2 linked regions of the Cricetulus griseus genome follow. Each later gene encodes a partner of the first gene's protein in a complex. Links are inferred from orthologs where the notes say so. Each region holds a gene or a part of one and is shown on either strand. Other genes may lie near its edges.

Region 1 (4,363 bases):
TCTCTAAAGGAGAAATACAAATAAAAACCTCTAACAAATACAAATTCAGAGTGACAGAAGGCAGATCAATAGGTACCCTCTGCAAGAGTAATGAGACACTTGTAGGTGGAGTCAACTCATTTATTAAACCAATCAGAAGGCGCCTTGTCAAAGAGGCATCTTCACATCGTACAGAAAGATTATTCCATAACAGACACTGACAAGGAAGCAAGAGGTATATAATCCTGTGATTATTATTCATATTTTTATTTTCTCTATTTTCTGTTTTGGTTTGGTTTGGAGACATGGTCTAATGTAGCTGAGCCTGGCCATGAATTTTGTTTTACCCCGGAAATACTGGGGCGACAGGAGAGCACTAACACACAGCTAATTTTTCTACTTGGACTGTACACATTTTTCTTTGGATTCATGTGAGTACTTTGTATGCTAAGACAGCCTTCCTTTACAGTCAACCAGATTCCTTAATTTTTCTCTCTGATACATGGTGGGATTCATTTACTTGTACAAGATACGTTATCGATTTATGTCTATTTTTTGCACTGGAGATCACCATCCAGCTGTACCCCTAGCCATCCATGTGCACGGTAGTTGAAAGGAAAAGGATGTACCATGCACCCACGCATCTCTAAAGCACAGTACATTTTCAATCATTATTTTTTGCAAAACACAGGGAGAATCAAAATTAGAAAGTGACTAGTTTGCAAAACGCAGGAAGAACCCAAGTTAGAAAGTGAAATGACGTCACAGCCAAGGCTTCAGAGCTGGCATCGCGCTGACCTTGCACATCCTAAGTTACTAGGAGCGATCTAAAGAGTGGAGACCGAAGACCTTAAACAAAACAAAACAAAACAATCTAGGAACTGCCGTTTACAACGAGCACCCTCCTTAACTTTCTTGCCCTTCTCCATTTGTGCTAAAACGGGAAACCAAGAGGCTACAGCGGCGGCAGGCATGAGCTCACGCTAGCATGACGTCACGAGCACTTGACGTCAGAAGGCGGTTGCCACGGGGACCGTTCGCCACCGACGGCAGAGTCGTGAAAGTCCATCCCCACAAGACTCGGTTCTGGCCTCTGCGCGGTTGAAGCTGCTAGAGAAGCTTCAGCCTTAAGGGGGCCTCAGGGAGAGAGGAGTGGCGCCGCGGCCGAGTGCTCCATCTCTGCGGCTGTGGGGCCCGAGCCGCGGCCTGGGCGGCGGCGGCGGCCGCTCCGCGTCTCCTCATCGCTGCAGCGCGCGGGGCGGATCCGCCATATTGGAGCCGGGCGCGGGTTCCGTGCAGCGGCGGCGGCGGCGGCGGCGCGAGGCGGCCTGGCAGCGGGGCCCGCGCGGCGGAGGAGCGCATGAGCCGCCGGCGCTAGCCTCTTCCCCGCCCACCGCCTGCGCTGGGCCGTCGGGACCCGGCCGGGAGGGGCCGCGGCGGCCGCAGGATGTTCTCTAAGAAGCCGCACGGGGACGTGAAGAAGTCCACCCAGAAGGTGCTGGACACCAAGAAGGACGCGCTGACCCGCCTCAAGCACCTGCGCATCGTCATCGGTGAGGAGGGTAGCGACCCCGGGGGCGACGCCTCGGCCTCGCTGCCCGCCCGGCCCGTCATCCCCGCGAGCTCCGGGGTTCGCCCTCGCGACTTGGCGCGGTCCGGAGTGAGGGCCGGCGGCGCCTGTGCCCACGCGCGGGAGGGCGAGCGGGCGGGCGAGGGAGCGGGCGGGCGGGCGGCGAGGGTAGGGGCAGCTTGGCAGTTGGCACAAACCAATCAGCGCCAACACGGAGAGACCCCACGTCTGAGTTCGTGGTCTGAATTCTTTTTAAAAACAAAAACAAAAACGAGCGTCAGCTTAGAAACTTAAGTCCTTGATGAGACTTCAGGGACACTTGGTGTTGTGGGTAATGGTGTTTAGAGGATGTGTGTTGCCAGATGACTACTGTCATCCCCACCCAAGTGGAAAGAAAAGCAAAATGCTCGCTTGGGCAGTATAACCCGTAGTCCTTCAAGTTTTTTTGGCAGGTGAGGGAGGGCCTGGAGGAAGCAGTTACACCTCTTTGGGAAGTGGGTGGCTCCTGAAGCTTGTGGGAGAGGACCCCGCCCTACTCTCAATACACCCTGTTCTTCATTTGCTGTCCTTTAGAAGGAAAACTAATTATAGAGAGCAAGAACTGTACCGAATTCAATTTTCATGAAAGTTTTCTTGCTGTCAGCCGTCTTCAACTTGAGTTTTTTCCAAAGACCGAACCGAGCTGAGTTTGGGATATAATGTTAAATGAGGGTTTTTGGATACTTGGTCGTAGATATTGTGAAGGACTGAGAGCTATGTACTTATGGAACTTTTGGTTCTGTACTTCTTTTTGTTTTGATGAAGAAATTGGGGATGAAAAGGGAAATTGGCCAGGGTTCGTGTATAGAATAATAGCATAACTGAGGTTAGAGCCCACATGCCTGGATTCGAATTCAAAGTTTATCATCTCAAGCTTTCTTCCTAATGACTGTTTTGGGAAGTGACTTGCATGTTTATTGGTGTGTCTGTGTCAGAGATATATTTCCTTAATGTGTTGTAACTAACACCACTAATAACACCCAACATTTGTGTGGTGCTTTGCCATCTACAAAGGGTTTCACATGAATTATTGTAATCGATCTTTGCAATCTGTCTACAAATAGAGATATTATTGACATTTTTTTGTACCAACAAGAAAGATTAAGCCATGTTTCTACTAAACTGATGGGAGACTAAATCACAAATGAAGCCCAGATTTTGTGTCTCTTAATTTGTTTTTCATCTTTCCTACATGTATGACAGCTAATCCTTATCACAAGTACTTATTCCTGTGGTATAATGAGAAGGGAATTAAACCCAGTTTATGTAAACCATTTAGATATGGTAGAAGTTTTTAACATTTTCATTCTGGAGTTGTCATTGAAGCAAGATTTGTCTGAAAAGATATGACTGAGACATACAAAGTCATCGTGAATGTAGATGTATTACAAAATAATGGCAGTGTGAAACTGGACACTTAGTGGAACTTGACACTCACTTGAGACAAGCTGTGGACTGCATAAATGCAGAACTAAAAAGCTGAATTACACCAGGGTATTGCGATTTCTTAAATTAACCGCCACAGTTGATTAAGGATTGGTTTCTTTATATTTCTTTGGCATGTGGTTTTTGTGGTTTTTTTGTGTGTGTCACACTGTGTGTGTGTGTGTGTGTGTGTGTGTGTGTGTGTGTGTGTGTGTGTTTACTAACTTGGGAAACATGAGAGATGAATTATAGTCATGTTGGATAGTTTGTAGAACTAGCTTCTTCAATTTGAAAATAAAACACTTAAAAAGAAAAAAAAAACCCACCATTTTCCCCCTTTATTAAGGATACTCTTTTTTAAAAAATAAAAATCACTTCAGAAGACATCTTTCAGGACTCTCAGATGTTGAACATTCTTACAGACCTGTGCCTTTAGAGTAGAAGACTACACTAAAGTAGCTGTAGAACCATGGTACTTAATTGGACAGATTTTATCAGTACCAGATAGGTGACCATATCTGGAAACACTTCTGTGAGGAGTTGCTACTAGATTATGTCTAGTATGCTAGACACTGCTAAATGAATGGAAAAATCTCTCAAAAAGGATATTCAAGTTTGAAGAGTCAGAATACCAGGATCTGAGACCTTGTCATAATGCATACTGTAAGATGGACTCCCAAATTCGAAGCTTGGTTTTAAGTTCTCTCCCTCTGCCTCATGGCTAGGAATTGAACTTGGGGCCCAAGTGTGCTAGCAGGCACTTTGTTACTGAGCAACATTTCAGCTTCAATATTTAAATTTAGTAAAATAGTCTATATTTTTATATATTTATGGTTACTTAAAATAAGATTAATATGATTTCTGAGAAAATGAGAGAGAGAAGTAAACAAAGTTGGACACTTAGAGACTTGCCAATTGGTATCCTATTTTGTAGCTGGAAGAGCCATTTTAAAGCCTTTTTGGAAATAAGTAAGGCTTTAAGTAAATACAATGAATAAACTATTTAGTTGGCTAATTACACAGAACCATATTGAACCAAAAAAAAGTGCTATTCACTGGGGATACTTATAGGGAAGTTCTGTACATCCAGAAAATAAAATAGCAACCTCCACCCCCCCACACTTAGAAAAAGTGTTTTCAGGCATGACCTGTCTCCTGTTGGCACCACTATTCTATAGCTACTTTAGTGTGGTCTTCTGTACAGATCCCTACTCACAGGGCAGCGGTGTGGAAGAGTACTCAACATTTGGAAGTCTTTGAAGATGTCTTCTACAGCGCTTTTCATTAAAAATATATTTTATTTTTTATGTGTATAGATGTTCTGCCTTCATGTATGCCTGCACAATACAT
Region 2 (3,819 bases), on another chromosome or scaffold:
AGGGCAATTCTTAGTTTGAATATGGCAGGGTAAGGATGAGAACTAAGTAAGGGAGGAAGAGAGGGCATTCCCACCACCCACCCAGCTCCAAAACACACACCAAAGAGCTGCCGAACCAAGCAAATGAGAATGAATTTTAACAACCACAGACAGCAGCAAACTTGAGGTTGATAAATCAGAAAACTGGGTTGATAAGGAGGATTATCATGGTCATTCATTGTCACCAAAACAGAAGCCCTTCGAAAGTTGCTTTTAACAAAAGATTTCACAGCACACAGATCACTCTGAAATCTTTTATTACTCTACATAAAATGTTTAAATTGTTTTGTAATGATAGGAGGCTTAATAAATGCAGAGTCAAGCATAAATCTTTATGCAACTTCCCATGAGCCATTTTAGTCCTGAATAAGCTATCCAGCAATAATACATTTGGAAAACACTACATGCAGAATGCATACAAATCAAACACTAAATCTGTATAAAAATAAGCTTAAAGCTTAAAAAAAAAAAAGAAAGAAAGAAAGAAAGAAAAGAAAAAAGCCAAAACACAGTTAGTGCAAAGTCCTGGAATTCATGACATGACCAGACTAGTATACAGAAATAATGGGATTGATTCAGGCAGATTAATTTGCTTTTGCCAACAATCTTCCCCATTCAAAACACAGAAAAAATATTTTCCTTCCCAAGTGCAAAAACTACAATAGACAATGACAATCAAAAATTTTAATGGAATTATGGAAAAAATAAAAACATGACTGCAATTAAGGAGAAGCTTCTGGTTCCTACTTACAAGATTTATAAGAAAGAAGAATTTGGATAAAAGATGCTGCAAGATAATAGAAATAAATGGAAACAAATCAAAGGACAGCAGTAATTATAAAATACTTTAAAGATGGTGAAATTTTACAATAAATTAAGAAGCTTTTTAGCTTTTTAAAAGTTAGATTTAAAGTTTATGATACCACAAGCTAGTTCAAAAACATAGGAAATTGTGCATTCAGGTCCAAAATTATGATTTTTGTATCATGCAAAACAATGAACAAAGAAAATTACATAGCTACAAAGAATTGAGGTTTTGAACTGCCCATATCGTGCATCAAAATTTTTAGTTCATTAACCCTTCCCAGCTCAATGTTACTTTTACAAAGCACAGTGCATCAGGTAAATTGAAAGCTAACAAGTTCAAAGAAGCAAATACTTGAGTTAAAGGTGAACTGCATGGCAGAATTCCTTGATGGCAGCCAGTACTTAGAAAACACACGATACCCCAATCCCCCCACCTCCCATCCAAGGCTTCCAGACTGGCACCCAAGAGCACTCTAAATCTACTTTAACTATTTGGACACCTCAAATCTCCTGGGTAATGTAACAGCCTTTAGCATCTCTGAACACAGACAGAAGGAATGTCTCTCCTTTAAGACGGGAAAGTGAGATGTTGCTCACTTGTCATTTGAATTCTTCTAGTACAGTGAAATAACAAAGCTGTTACAAACTCCCCAGAGATAGAAAGCTCTAGATACTCATTATACAAGCCTACCAGAAAGCAGCAGATTAAGCCATTCTAGACTCAGAGATTTTTTGCAAAGCCAACAGCTCCCTACTCAACAGTTAGGTTACATTGTAAGAAACACACCTTATCAAAAAATTAAAGGCTAACTCACTCTGGACAATACTATATAAATTAATAAACATGGTTCAGAAAATTCAAAACATATAGCACATAAGATAATGAAAATATACCCATGAATGGTTTTTAAAACTTTTAATTTAATGGAGCTCATGAATAAAACCATAATGTAAAAATGGAAAAATATAAAGCGCCTGAATTTGAACAAAATAAAGCAAGCAAAAGAATCTCAAACTCACTCATGCAGCCTCATATTCCATAACAACTTCATACTTAAAACTTTTCTAAATTATTTAAAAGTTTCTAAGAACATCCAAAATAATTACACTTACAAAATATTCACAGACATAAACCTAGCTGTGAATGAGTTTCTGAGAAAAAGCAGAGACCCTTATGAACACTTAATTTTATCCTTGAATTCAACAGTGTCCTCTGGAGAATAAAACTGTCAGAAAGTAATACTATCAGAAATCTTTTTACCTCAATCTGTCTCCAACTCCTGTAGAAAAGTATTTATTTAGAAAACAACTAATATACTAATTAATGCATAAACATGGGACCCGGCACACACTAACAGCAACTCAATAAATACCAGCCATTATTATTATTCAGCTGTGCAAGACAGATGATAACCATTCCAAACATTCTGCCCTGACTTACCCATCCATCTGGCACTAGCTCTAAGCATAGTAGTAAGTTGACAAAATAAATCCAATTTCATTTAGACGATTTCATTCTATAGTAAATCCAATGAAGATACTGGGATTGGTTTATTAAGAAAACAGAAAATTCCTGATATTTACATGTAATGATGATTAAATGGTTGTGAAAAATCTAAGAAAACATTTCAATGAATAAACTTTTACTCAAAACCTTTAATTGTTCATAAATCTATTATTATCCTGGCTGACATGAAGGGAATTTCCAGGTCACCTACAAAAATGGAATTTGATTCAACACAAAGTGGCTAACCTGAAGAGTCCCTAATAAAACCAGGCAAAGGACCAAACTTCATAAAGTATACATAAAAAGGACAGATAGGAATACTTCACAAGTTTCTATTGGTTCAGCTGGAAGGGGTTAAGCACAACATATTGCTTGGTGAGAAACAGGGTGCTTTCAAGAGCTGTATTAATCTTGCAGGTAGGAAAGACTAAAGAGAAAGAAACAGAAAGGGAATAATGACTACATGTTTCTGGGCATATTTACCAGTCATGCTGCTGTCTCTGTTTATTCCGTTATGGAGTTTGCAGTGAACAAATGCTGCATCGAATAACCATGATCCAAAGAGATTCAAGATGCTGTTAACCTTTGGTCTCCGAGGGGCAGGCAGTGGCCTGGGCTCTGAACTAGTCTGATTTGGACTTGACAGAGGAGAAGTAGAGGATGCCTGGTGCTGGACTTTCGAAGTGTGAACAGTAGTAACCTAGCAGAAGAACACAAGTAAGTGTCCACAGCCATGAAAAGTTGGAAGAGTTTGGGACTTATAAAAGTTAACCTTCATAAAGCTAAATGATGCTGAATGATCTTACTGCACTTGTCTTCATGGTGGCCTTATTCACAGTAACAGCCCTGTGCCTCCGGTTATGTGGTGGTGTGGTATTCACAGCAGTGCTCTGAGGCATACTTAATCTGTTCACGGGTGTTGGGGGAGCACTGTCTGATCTTGGTCGAGAAATACCTACAAAAAAAAAAAAAAAAAAGAAAAAAAAGATATCTATGAAAACAGTCACCAGAGCATTTTAAACTATTTTTGAGGGTAACTCGTACAATGAGTTTTACAATTTACAATGTTTTGCGAATCATTTGTGTTTTTATCTACTAGGTTACTGTCTTTTTTATGGTATTTTTGTTTATTTACATAAAGGCAGTAGCATTCTATCTATCACAATTTGCTGAAAATAATTTTCCCTAGATTGTTATTTATCATGAAGTTTATTCCTCTTTCTCTGGGCTTTCCTAAGAGCTTCCAGCATTACGCTGTAGAATATCTACACACAGCTCTCAAACATCTAAGAAACATACACAAAATTCACCTAAGAATGCATCCACCAGACAGCTGATTCCACGCATGGCACGAAAGAATATCTGAGGCAGATGTTTAAGACAGGGGTACTGGCTCAGCTCCTGTGGCATCCCACTCACATTTAAGAACTGTTCCTGAAACTTGGGGGTTGAGCTTATAATGGCTG

The links.
Region 2: Ralgapa1 (region 1) and Ralgapb share a complex: the UniProt entries of both Homo sapiens proteins name them as parts of the heterodimeric RalGAP1 complex. The link is inferred for Cricetulus griseus from reciprocal best matches to the Homo sapiens genes RALGAPA1 and RALGAPB.

The regions. Positions count from the first base shown.
Region 1 is NC_048598.1:146,589,641-146,594,003, forward strand, and holds the start of Ralgapa1 (ral GTPase-activating protein subunit alpha-1), read left to right. Parts: upstream 1-1,396; 5' UTR 1,397-1,426; coding exon 1,427-1,532; intron 1,533-4,363. UniProt on the Homo sapiens protein: Catalytic subunit of the heterodimeric RalGAP1 complex which acts as a GTPase activator for the Ras-like small GTPases RALA and RALB.
Region 2 is NC_048599.1:21,060,859-21,064,677, forward strand, and holds part of Ralgapb (ral GTPase-activating protein subunit beta), read right to left. Parts: coding exon 3,664-3,819; intron 3,309-3,663; coding exon 3,160-3,308; intron 3,054-3,159; coding exon 2,837-3,053; intron 1-2,836. UniProt on the Homo sapiens protein: Non-catalytic subunit of the heterodimeric RalGAP1 and RalGAP2 complexes which act as GTPase activators for the Ras-like small GTPases RALA and RALB.